Ovis aries: one gene and its partners. The protein of the gene in region 3 purifies or fractionates together with the protein of the main gene of each other region. This does not show direct contact. Links are inferred from orthologs where the notes say so. Each region holds a gene or a part of one and is shown on either strand. Other genes may lie near its edges.

Region 1 (3,652 bases), on a different chromosome or scaffold from region 3:
AGCTCAAGACAGAGAATGTACCACCACACTGAAGAACCCTTAAGGCAAAGCTCATGAATAAAGGTTTCCCTGAAACCAAGAAGTTCACCTCATAAACAGACTGTCGTGCTGCCTTGAGCCGCATTACAAATAAATCTCTGTCCTCAAGCATTCGTGACATCCGGTTCTTATGTTCTAGAGCCTTTTCCCGTTCCAGCTGCATCGTAGTAATCTGCAAACACATGATACAAAGTTAAATTTCAAAGTGCTCATTATCTGATGATTAATTTATCCCAAATTTCTGACAGATATGCTTGAAGAAGTATAAGCATCTCCTCTGCCCCCTCCATTCTGCCACACCAACAGCTCCCTAGGATGACAATGAGGAACAGAAGATGAATAAAAAAAGACCTGGGGCATCTGTAAGAAACAGCTTTAACCTGACGGTACCATAGCACCACTACCTCAATGGACACTGAGTCTGAGCAAACTCCTGGAGATAATCAAGGACAGAGAAGCCCGGAGGGCTGCAGTTCATGGGGTCACAAAGAGCTGGACAGGACGTAGAGACCGAACAAGGACAACCACAAAACTTATGGAGGAAAAACTAAAACGCGTGTGACAAAGCAACAGACCCTCACGGCTTCATTACTGTATTTTCTTCTTCAAAAGCAACTGGAGGGACTTCTCTGGCCCCTCCAGGGAGTATGGGTTTGATCCCTGATCAGTAAACTAAAATCCCAAATGCCATGAGGCACAAGCCAAAAAAAAATTTTTTAATTTTGTTTCAATAAACTAACCTAAAAAAAGCAGCAAATCCTCTCAAGCTTTCTCTAATTTCATGTTAAAAGAATTATCACACAAATTGCGACTTCTAAGAAAACTGGAAAAGATGGTTAACACTAGGCCCAGAATGACAACAATCCAATGAAACCAAGAAGAGGCAGCCACCACAGATATATGTTGTCTCCTGCCTATGGTTTCTTTTTTAACCAAAATGAGGTCACTCGTTTTTACTACAAATCTGGCCACTATAAGCATTTGCGAATGTTGCTTTTGTACTGTTTAAGTACACATAAACAAATAAAACTACTGAAGGAGCTGTTTAGTCTCACACACACAGCCTATATGATTCCGTCTGTAAGAAATACCCACAGACAAGTCTAGAGACGGAAAGGAGTTAGGTGGCTGCTGAAGGAGTGCAGAGAAAATGGAGTGACTGCTAATGGGTATGGAGTTTCCTCTGGGGTATGTTCTAAAATCAGATTGTTGCTCAATTCCATATACTAAAAACATCAATTGCACACTTTAATTTCGTGAATTATATCTCCATAAAGCAGTTTTCAAAAAAAAAAAATAAAGTTCATCTATCCTTTGTACTTTACAAGTTTCATTATTTAATCTCTATTTTGTAGATGTCTACCAACCTGTTTGTATACAGCCATTAAAATACAATTTCTGGCAAAATAATACAAAAATCAATTTGAAACCCTTTTCCCATTACTGGCTTTATTATAGTTTGCTTACAGTCTAAAAATATTACAATTAAATTAAAGCCTTACTCTTTCTTCTTCTTGTTGTTCCCACAGATCCATGTCTTTAATTCTCTGTTCTTCGTAAGCACTCTTTATCAAGGGGATTTCTTCCAAACGCTTAGCTCTTTCAAAGTAGTCAATCTGAGTATCATGAAAACAAATGTTGTTAGAAAAATTCCTTTAACTTGGCACGTTTAAGTTCATCAGTTCTTTCATTTACCTTCTTTTCTTGATTCTTTAGGCGTTCCTGAAGTTCCTTCTTTTCTTTCTCCAGTTGTTCAACCTGTTTAGCCATGATGAAATCAGGATCCAATTCTTCAAGGTCCTGAAAATAAAGAGTATAAAAGTGCATACCAGTCAATATGGAGCACCACTCCTTCCTAGAAATGGATCCTAAATTACTTTACTTCAAAAGGGCATATGCTTACAATGGGTAAATTCAGGCAACAAAAATGTTTTAAAACAGGCTTATTTGTGAGGAAAAACAAAGTAATCATAACATCTACTTCTTATTCCTGTATTCTACTGTATCCAAACTCCATTTCAACAGTGACTAAAAACTGTGGAGTCAACAAACAAATGCTTATTTCATAGACTAATGAACTATTAATAGCTGTATCAAACTGAACAAAATAACCAAAAACCCAAAGTAAACCAATAAATGGTAAAGAATTGTGCTTCTAAGAGACCTGAATAAAACTGGAATTTTAATGCATTAATATGCCACATACTTCAATGTCAATATCTTTGAATGCTTTGGCACCCAGTTCTGTCTTCTTGATTTGCTCCAAACGCTCACGAACAGTTTTCTTCTTGATTTGTTCATGTTCCTGTAAGATCCGCTCCTTCTCTCTCTCCTTTGCCTCCTGTCTCAGCCTCTCTTCCTCAGCCTTCCGCACTTTCTGGAGTTCAGCTTCCCGCTGCTCCAGTTCTTCTTTCTCACGCTGAATATTCAGACTCTCAAGCCGCTCTTTTCTTTCCTCAATTGTCTGACGGCGAGCCAAGATACGCTGGTGCTCTTTCCGTGAATTTTTAAGGTATGCGGTAACAGCCAACTGATGCTGTTCTTCTTTCTCTTGCTTCAAGAACAAATGCATTAAAAATATCTTTAAGTGACATACCACAGTATCCGAGACCAAAAATATTGCTACATACTCCTAATGTATTATCCTAACATGTACTTGCATTTGAAAAGAGAAGATGACATTATTCAACTGCTGGTTTCTAGCACCAAATACTATGATGCTACAACTATTCAAAGTCTTTAACAGCAATGACATAGCTGAAGAACCTTTATCTGCTAGGCCAATTTTTATCTGAACCATGCATACTATAAAGTGTTCAAGCCAAGGAGAAAATACAGAGTTCACAAACAACTTAAACAGAAGGCAAAGGCATGATCACAGTACTCGCTATGTGGAGGGTCATCACCTGTGGTTTATCACTCATCACAGTACTCCTATGATCACCTTAACCTGTTACTCTAACCCACAGAAGGCAGCTCAACGATCTGTGTTATCTGACAAAGATATTTAATAAAATATCAAAAGTATCAAACACAACTAAGAGAAAATATATAATAAATCCCTTCTCTGAGACATCATTTCAAACCTTTTTTTGAAAGACCTAAAGGGCCCCTCATAATTCCGTCATCCATTTCTCCCATAGATGCGTACCAGGATATGAGCTGGCTTAATGACTTCAAGTGCTTTCGCAAGTACTGAGGACATAGCGGTCAGCTGATTTCTTATCTGTTCTGAAGGCATGCTTTGCAGATGAGGACCAATTGGAGCATCTTCTCGAGTAGCGTAATTCAAATCAGATCCAAAACTAAGGGTCCGAGAAGTGTGGTCAATACGAACCTATGAAAATTGAAGAGTATTATCAATAGTTAAATCTACACGCAAATATATAAAGTCTTTACACAAATTAGTACCTTTGATTAAAATTTCAACTGAATTTAAGAAAAAAAATCAACTGAAGAATGTCAAATATCAAAGCTAGAAGTCTCAATTCATTAAAGCTTTAAAGCAGTGCCAAAAGCAGAGAAGCAACGAGTGTGTGTTTTAGTCCTCTTAGGCCTTCCACCGCCTCAGTGTCCCCTGGTAGCACCTACCTGCAGGTCGCAGTGCCTAGCT
Region 2 (3,752 bases), on a different chromosome or scaffold from region 3:
CCATTTAAAAGTCAACGATTTAGTGGCATTTAGTACATTCAGTGTTGTGCAACCACAAACTCTATCTACTTCCAAAACATTTTCAACACACCAAGAGGAAACCTGGTATGGTGGGATACTTTTAAAAGCTATTGTCACAAGGCTGTAAAGGTAAGTAAGATGGGGCAGGAACCAAAGCCTGCAAGCCCTTCTGAACACCTCCAAATGGGCTATATATATAGCAATATTTCTGTTGTTGTTGTTTACTCTCAAGATGGACTCAGGCTTTACCTTGCTGGAGAGCTATAAAGTAAAACTGCTTGGTTTCATATTTCCGATTTGGGGAATCTCAACTTGTCTTTCCAGGAACAGGAATATGTATTTCGCTAGTACTGTGATTAAAGAACTCTAAAAGGAGCAAACCTCACTCCTATCCTAAAGACTTTCAGGTGAGAGCTTGCTTGCGCCGATGGAGGAACGCCAAGAGTCCAATATAGCCGGATGGAGAAAATGAGGGGGGAGGGTAATCTGAAGAGAGATGGGAGAAACGATCACAGCCAGACACCAGCCTGGAAACGGTAAAGCCCTGCAAGTCACTGTAAGAATTTTAGCATTTACACTGCATGAAGCAGTAAGACTGTTGAAACGTTCTGAGGAAAGGATGAACATAAAGAATCACTGTGTATAGAAACAGGAAAATAGTACTAGCACAGTGGAGAAACCCAGCAAATACCTTCACCAAGTGATCAAGTGACGTCATGTAGATACTGAGTACCCACATGATATGATGCAAAGGGTACTCGATACGCAGCCAGTCTGATTTCACACATAGCCTCCCATAAAATGAAAGCTTAGACCACAAATACTATTCAGGGATGCATACAATGGTGGGAAACTGATAACGAAATCAAAAATTCAGGGTAATAATTTCCTGTGGCAGGGAGGGGAATTTTCATTAGGGAGCGGCACAGAATTTCTTAAGGTAACGGTTTGAATCTTAACCTAGGTGGTTAATTCACAAATTTTGTATTATTCTTTAAATTATTAACTTAGAAATAGACTCAGAAAAGTCGTAAAAATAATACAAAGAATTTCTGCGTGCCCTTCATTCAAGATTCTCCAAATTTAAATTTTTACTCACTTACTCCGTCATTATTTTTTTAAATACGTCTTTATATATGCTATTCTTTCAACCACTTCAGAATAAGCTTGCTTACACAATGGTTCTTTAACCTTAAATACTTCGGTTCTTTAACCCTAAATGAATGTCCTAAAAACAAAGATATTATCTTTCACAATCACAATACAATGATCAAAACCAAGAAATTAGCAGTACTAACATCTAGTCTACAGACTTTGGTAAACATTTTATCAATTTCCCCATTCATATCTTTTACAGTAAAAGAGAGAAAGTTCACTTTATGAGGTGAAAAAAAAGATTTTTAAATAATTTATTTTTTCTGCTCCGGGATCCAACCTAGGATCACACATTGCATTTAGTTATGCATTCGTTAAATCCCGTTAATTTCTTCAATTTGGGACAGTTCTTCCCGACCTTGAAATTTTTGAAAAGTACAGATCGTCTATTTTTATAAAATGTCCATCAACCTGGCCTACGTAAACGTTTCATATAATCTTTGCAGGTCTTACGTATTTCACAACTTAAAAACCGAGATGCAGCTCGGCGAGAAATAAAATGACCCCAGAAACAGTACATTTCGAGCAGAGGTTAGCAAAGAAAGCAACTAAACAAGTCGATTTATCAAGATACGCATTGATATTTTTAAAATAGCTGTTTTTTCTTGATTACAAAACAAAGCACTACTAAAACAGAAAACAAACGCAACATCGAAGGCCCCTCCCGTACCAATCACCTGCACTTTCTCCCGTCCTGGGAAAATGAGCTTGGTCAGAGGCAAAAACCTCGCCGTTTCACAAGCTTTGCTCACTCGCAGGCGCCATTTTCTGCTTCACGGGCACCACCTCCCCTCTGCAGTCTCTCCACCGCCTCAGGACACGCCCCTCGGCCTCGTCACAAGCCTCGTTCCCAGGCTCCAGCTCTCTCCACCACGCAGGGTCTGACTCCCTCCCTCTTCCTCCACCCGCTCCGCCCCCGGCTCCCAATCCGCTCCTCAGCCAGATGTCACCGGCATTGACTTCGTTCTCAGACGCTGTGCAGTAGTCACAGTCCGCCCCCAGATGCTTCGTAACGCCCCGCAGACTACGCTCCCCAGCTCTGTTGTTGAGATCCCCTCCTTCCCAAGTTCCAAGGTCCACCTCGCTGGCCCGGCCCTGCCGCCGCAGCCTTCCCTTCTCATGACCCGCCCCCTGCCTCTCCACGCCAAATCGCGCCGCGCTATCAGGCTGCACCGCACAGGCCCCACCTCTTTCTCAGACTAGGCTTTCCCCGCCCCTCTCGTTCCCAGTCCCATAGGCCATTCCTCCTCCCCAGGGCGGCTCTCACAAGGACCTCCGCCGCCTCGTTCCCCACAGTCTCCTCAAGCCGAGGCTCCGCTTTCAGCTCTGCCTTACCAGCTTTCGCCGACCTGCAGCGGACGCCCTCGCCCATTCTCAATCTGGCGCCACTGGCTCTCCAGGCCTGGCACCGCTTCCCGCTGTGGCTCTCGGTCGTCGACCGCAGTCGCAGCCGTATCCGCGGGATTCGCTGCGACCGCCGCCATAGCTGTTTGCCCTCCTCTAGCGGCCACCGCAGCTGGGACTAGGAAGGGCCCCTCAAGTGCCACTTCCGGATTTTGGTCCCGGAAACGGAAGCAGAGCCCCCCATACAGCCAGGGGGCTACTGCGGTCTTGAAAAGGGACCCCCGCGCTCGGACTCGTCGAAGGGCTGGGTGGGCATAGGCCCGTGGGCGGTGATTTCCGCCACCGGTGGGCGGGGTAAATCCTCCAGTTGGGAACTAAGGACCAGGGTGTCTTGTGGGATTCTAACGCCATGTTGAGTCAGGACAAACGACTGTGTGGAAAGTAGAGGTAGTGGTCCCCAAGGAGGACATATTGGCGCGTGCTCAGGGGAAGCTTCCAGGACCTTTCGGTCCCATTCTCTGCTGAGGACCGCGCGCCTGTATCCTGGGAGCGGCCTTTTTGCAAGCCTGACCAGGATGCCCTTCCTTCATTGCACTACCCTTCTCCATCAGAAACTAATGCAAAAGAGGGCATCACTTCCAGGGCGCTACCCAGGCCTGCGGGCCTCTTCCTTGCGTGAACTAGATTTGTCCTCTTGACAAATGTGTTGAAGGCAAGTCAGCCCCAGGCCAGGTATATTTTTATTGGAGTTACAGCACTGATAATAATAGTTGGCCCTGTTTAGGTGTTTTATTGCACATAAATAGTAGTCTTAGGCAGCAGGTTGCCTATGGGAAACAATGGGGATGTTGAGGACCAGAAACGTTAATTCACTTTGCCCCACTAGTAAGTCGTGGAGTTGTGGTTGGAACTCAGGAATTCCAGTTCCAGACGTGCCACCTTTAAATTCCAGGCCAGAGATTTTCAAACTAGGGTCCTTTTTGGCTTTCTACCCGTTCAGGAGACCCTTTCAGGTTCACGAAGTCAAAACTATTCACAACAAGACTTTTTCATGGTCATTTTCTATTGCATGTGCCATGGAATTTTCCAGAGACTGCATGACATAAGCAAAAGCTCTTTGGATATCCTTAAGAATATGAAGGAATTCTGAGACCAAAAGTTTGAGAACCAGTCTACTGCACCAGGGTTTTTTTCAGCTTAGGCACTATTGACATTTCTGTTGTAGGATGTTT
Region 3 (3,652 bases):
AAGAACTATCACTTTTTAAGTTTTATCGCGTTGGCTTTATCTGTGGGGGTATAACCTGTCTCTCTTGCTCAAACCATTTGAAAGTGGCAGACATTTAACACACTTGGGTTCCAAATATAAGTATCACTTGCTTCAAAGTTACCTTTATGCCACTTTACTTTTACAAAAAGACCCATATATGCTGCTGCTACCGGAAAGAAATCCTAAGAGGATTCTGCTTTTACAAAAAAGATGAAAAGTGAAAACAGCTTTCAGTGTTGATTTTGCAGCAAGCTTTTTATCTGTTAGCAAAATGTGTCTTAAAATAATTGTTTCTTTGATTTACACCATTTTGGCTTATAAAGTTTTGTAGGAATGCTCTACTTCTGGACATTGGGGAAACCTGTACTTCACCAAGTGTTGGCTGGGGTTAAGAACATTCTCCTACAGAATCTGTAACTCTGTGCTCTGTTATTGACAACACAATTCTGCCAATCAATCAAAAAACCAGGCCTAGTTTTATTGGATTATTATAACTGGAAAATAATTTACAGCCTATACTTAGTACTAGTGAAAACATTCTTTCTATTCCATCTCCAATAACTCGAAGAGGTAAATCCATTCACCTCACTTTGGTTGGATTTTACTCTATACACTAAGGCAGGGTTTGGCAAATTTTTTTCTTAAAGGTCAGCCAAAATTTGCAGATGCTTGTGAGGGCCCAGGAAGCCTTTTGAAAATCATGAGGGACAGGTCACAACTCTTCCCTGACTAAAGAAACTGTCTCACTCACTGCTACTTGGCAGCTTTGGCCCATGAGCACTAAATGCTAGTAAGTGACAACCAGTAACACTCACACAAATTTCCCAAGAGTCCTAGAGACACAATGCCCCGTTAAGAATCGTGGGCTTCGCGGATGGGAAATCTGTCCCTGCAGATCTCTCACCTCTCCCGAGGCCGTCGCTCTAGTTTTGGCTCATCCAGCTGACGCTGCAGTTTCTCCTGTTCCTTCTGTAGCCGCTCTTCTACTTCTCGTTCTCTAGCAGCTGTGTCAACAGGCTTTGCCCCTCCAAAGATAGAGGCTGCGCGACTGGACTGGGAGGTGCTAGCGGAGGAATCATCTTCCTTAGGAGTACTCCGAGGCTTTAGGTTCAGTTTGGGTCTTTGGGGGGGACCTAAGTTAAAAAAAAAAGAAAAAAAAGTAATAGTTTTTAGAAATCACCAGAAGCTGATGGCTAAAAAACAGATTGCCAGATGTATCTCTTATGAAATGCTATTTAGTATTCAGATTAAACAGTGGCCTAGCCAATCCAACAAAGGAGGCAGATCATTAAACTGATCATTTACCATGATTACTATTATCTGGGGGGATTTTTAATTACGATAAGACATTGGATGAAAGTATCTTGTTAAAATATGTGGTCTGGAAGATGAATCATTTTAGTAGGTAGGTTAAGAAGAACTTGTAACACTATGCTGGGGAAGACTCCAGCTCTTATATTCTTTATCTCTGTGTATAATATATAAATTTGATAGGGATTCACAGGGCAAAGCATGCAACAGTGAACACCACAATGTCAACTTTTCTAAAGGGGTCTAATTTCTTCCTGGATCCAAGTTGTCAGGATTTCAGAATATTTCAAGGAGATTGTATTTCTCAAAAATCACTGTTTATCCTAAACATTTCAAACATACAAAAGCTATAGGTTTTACATTAGTAGTTTCCGTTAACTTTTACGGTAACATTTTTCATCTGTATAACTGTCAAGGGGCCACAACCAATGTGGACAGGATACAACTGGAGTCAGAAACAAGAACTCACTGAAGTCACATGCCTAATATAGGGTGGACCAGAAAATGAAATCCACATTATTGAAGCAACTCCACCACTCGTCCCACTGTGGTACACAGTGTCCCCTTCTTCCTCCTTTGATAACTGCATTACCTACTCAACAAATAATCTGAACACTTATACTTCAGATACCATATCAACGCCAGGAACATGAAGAGGCAGAGCAGTGAAGGCCCTTGTCTATGTCAGAGGTACAAAGGGGTATGTTTTAGGCCATGAAGAGACAAAAGAAGGGTTTTAGAAGAAGAATAACCTAATTAGATATGGTTCCATAGACAATCCAAGCCAATGTGAAAACAGAGGGAAATGTAAGTAACATGGGCACAGCAACGACGTCTGAACAGACAATGGCAGTGACCCTGGAGGAAAGGGGGCAGATCTTAGGAGTCGGGGGTGGTGGAGGTGGAAATCAACTATTGGGGGAGGAAAAGGCATGAAAGGCAAAAGTCAGTAGCCGACGAAGACTGCATCTGAGCCTCTACTTTTCAAAGTGGAGACAATACTTGTATAGTCTACCACACTGAATACTTGATCATTAACTCTAGGTGTGCTGTCTAAATCGAATTACAGAGAAGAATTCTGGACCAGATACCTTACTTAAATTTTAATTTTGGCTGTGTCACATTCGGAATCTCAGTTCCCCAACTGAGGTTGGGGACTGAATCCAAGCCAGGACCATGAAAGCCCAGAATCCCAACCACCAGGCCAACTAGGAAGCTCCCAGATATATTATTTCTAAAAATGACATTGCTGAAGTCAGAACAATAAATGGTGGCCATTTACAATATTTTTTGAGAGGTAGAGTTATAATACAACGCATGTTTTATGAAGTGATCATAACGTTAGGGGCATTAATTTTACAATAGGTACACTGACATCTTACCATTAATGAATGAATAGCAACCATTTGGTATAATGGCATTGAAATAAGCAACACTTGGTTTTTAACCCATTCAGTTCAGTTCAGTCGCTCAGTCATGTCCGACTCTTTGTGACCCCATGAATCACAGCATGCCAGGCCTCCCTGTCCATCACCAACTCCTGGAGTTCACTCAAACTCATGTCCATCGAGTTGGTGATGCCATCCAGCCATCTCATCCTCTGTCGTCCCCTTCTCCTCCTGCCCCTCATCCCTCCCAGCATCAGTCTTTTCCAATGAGTCAACTCTTCGCATGAGGTGGCCAAAGTACTGGAGTTTCAGCTTTAGCATCAGTCCTTCCAATGAACACCCAGGACTGATCTCCTTTAGGATGGACTGGCTGGATCTCCTTGCAGTCCAAGGGACTCTCAAGAGTCTTCTCCAACACCACAGTTCAAGAGCATCAATTCTTCGGCACTCAGCTTTCTTCATAGTCCAACTCTCACATCCATACATGACCACTGGAAAAACCATGGCCTCGACTAGATGGACCTTTGTTGGCAAAGTAATGTCTCTGCTTTTCAATATGCTATCTAGGTTGGTCATAACTTTTCTTCCAAGGAGTGTCTTTTAATTTCATGGCTGCAATCATCATCTGCAGTGATTTTGGAGCCCCCCAAAAATAAAGTCAGTCACTTTTTCCACCATCTTCCCATCTATTTCCCAGGAAGCGATGAGACGAGATGCCATGATCTTAGTTTTCTGAACACTGAGCTTTAAGCCAACTTTTTCACTCTCTTCTTTCACTTTCATCAAGAGGCTTTTTAAGTTCCTCTTCACTTTCTGCAATAAGGGTGGTGTCATCTGCATATCTGAGGTTACTGATATTTCTCCCGGCAATCTTGATTCCAGCTTGTGCTTCTTCCAGCCCAGCACTTCTCATGATGTACTCTGCATAGAAG

What was found.
Region 1: the proteins of EIF4B (region 3) and EIF3A purify together in Homo sapiens (co-immunoprecipitation; 3 studies listed by BioGRID and IntAct, with this or other methods). This does not show direct contact. The link is inferred for Ovis aries from reciprocal best matches to the Homo sapiens genes EIF4B and EIF3A.
Region 2: the proteins of EIF4B (region 3) and USP11 purify together in Homo sapiens (affinity purification with western blotting; 3 studies listed by BioGRID, with this or other methods). This does not show direct contact. The link is inferred for Ovis aries from reciprocal best matches to the Homo sapiens genes EIF4B and USP11.

The regions. Positions count from the first base shown.
Region 1 is NC_056075.1:38,780,817-38,784,468, forward strand, and holds part of EIF3A (eukaryotic translation initiation factor 3 subunit A), read right to left. Parts: coding exon 3,631-3,652; intron 3,377-3,630; coding exon 3,191-3,376; intron 2,594-3,190; coding exon 2,246-2,593; intron 1,840-2,245; coding exon 1,735-1,839; intron 1,656-1,734; coding exon 1,542-1,655; intron 212-1,541; coding exon 89-211; intron 1-88. UniProt on the Homo sapiens protein: RNA-binding component of the eukaryotic translation initiation factor 3 (eIF-3) complex, which is required for several steps in the initiation of protein synthesis.
Region 2 is NC_056080.1:57,584,054-57,587,805, forward strand, and holds the start of USP11 (ubiquitin carboxyl-terminal hydrolase 11), read right to left. Parts: upstream 2,679-3,752; 5' UTR 2,661-2,678; coding exon 2,512-2,660; intron 1,954-2,511; exon of another isoform or gene 1,854-1,953; intron 1-1,853.
Region 3 is NC_056056.1:133,403,758-133,407,409, forward strand, and holds part of EIF4B (eukaryotic translation initiation factor 4B), read right to left. Parts: intron 1,155-3,652; coding exon 926-1,154; intron 1-925. UniProt on the Homo sapiens protein: Required for the binding of mRNA to ribosomes. Functions in close association with EIF4-F and EIF4-A. Binds near the 5'-terminal cap of mRNA in presence of EIF-4F and ATP.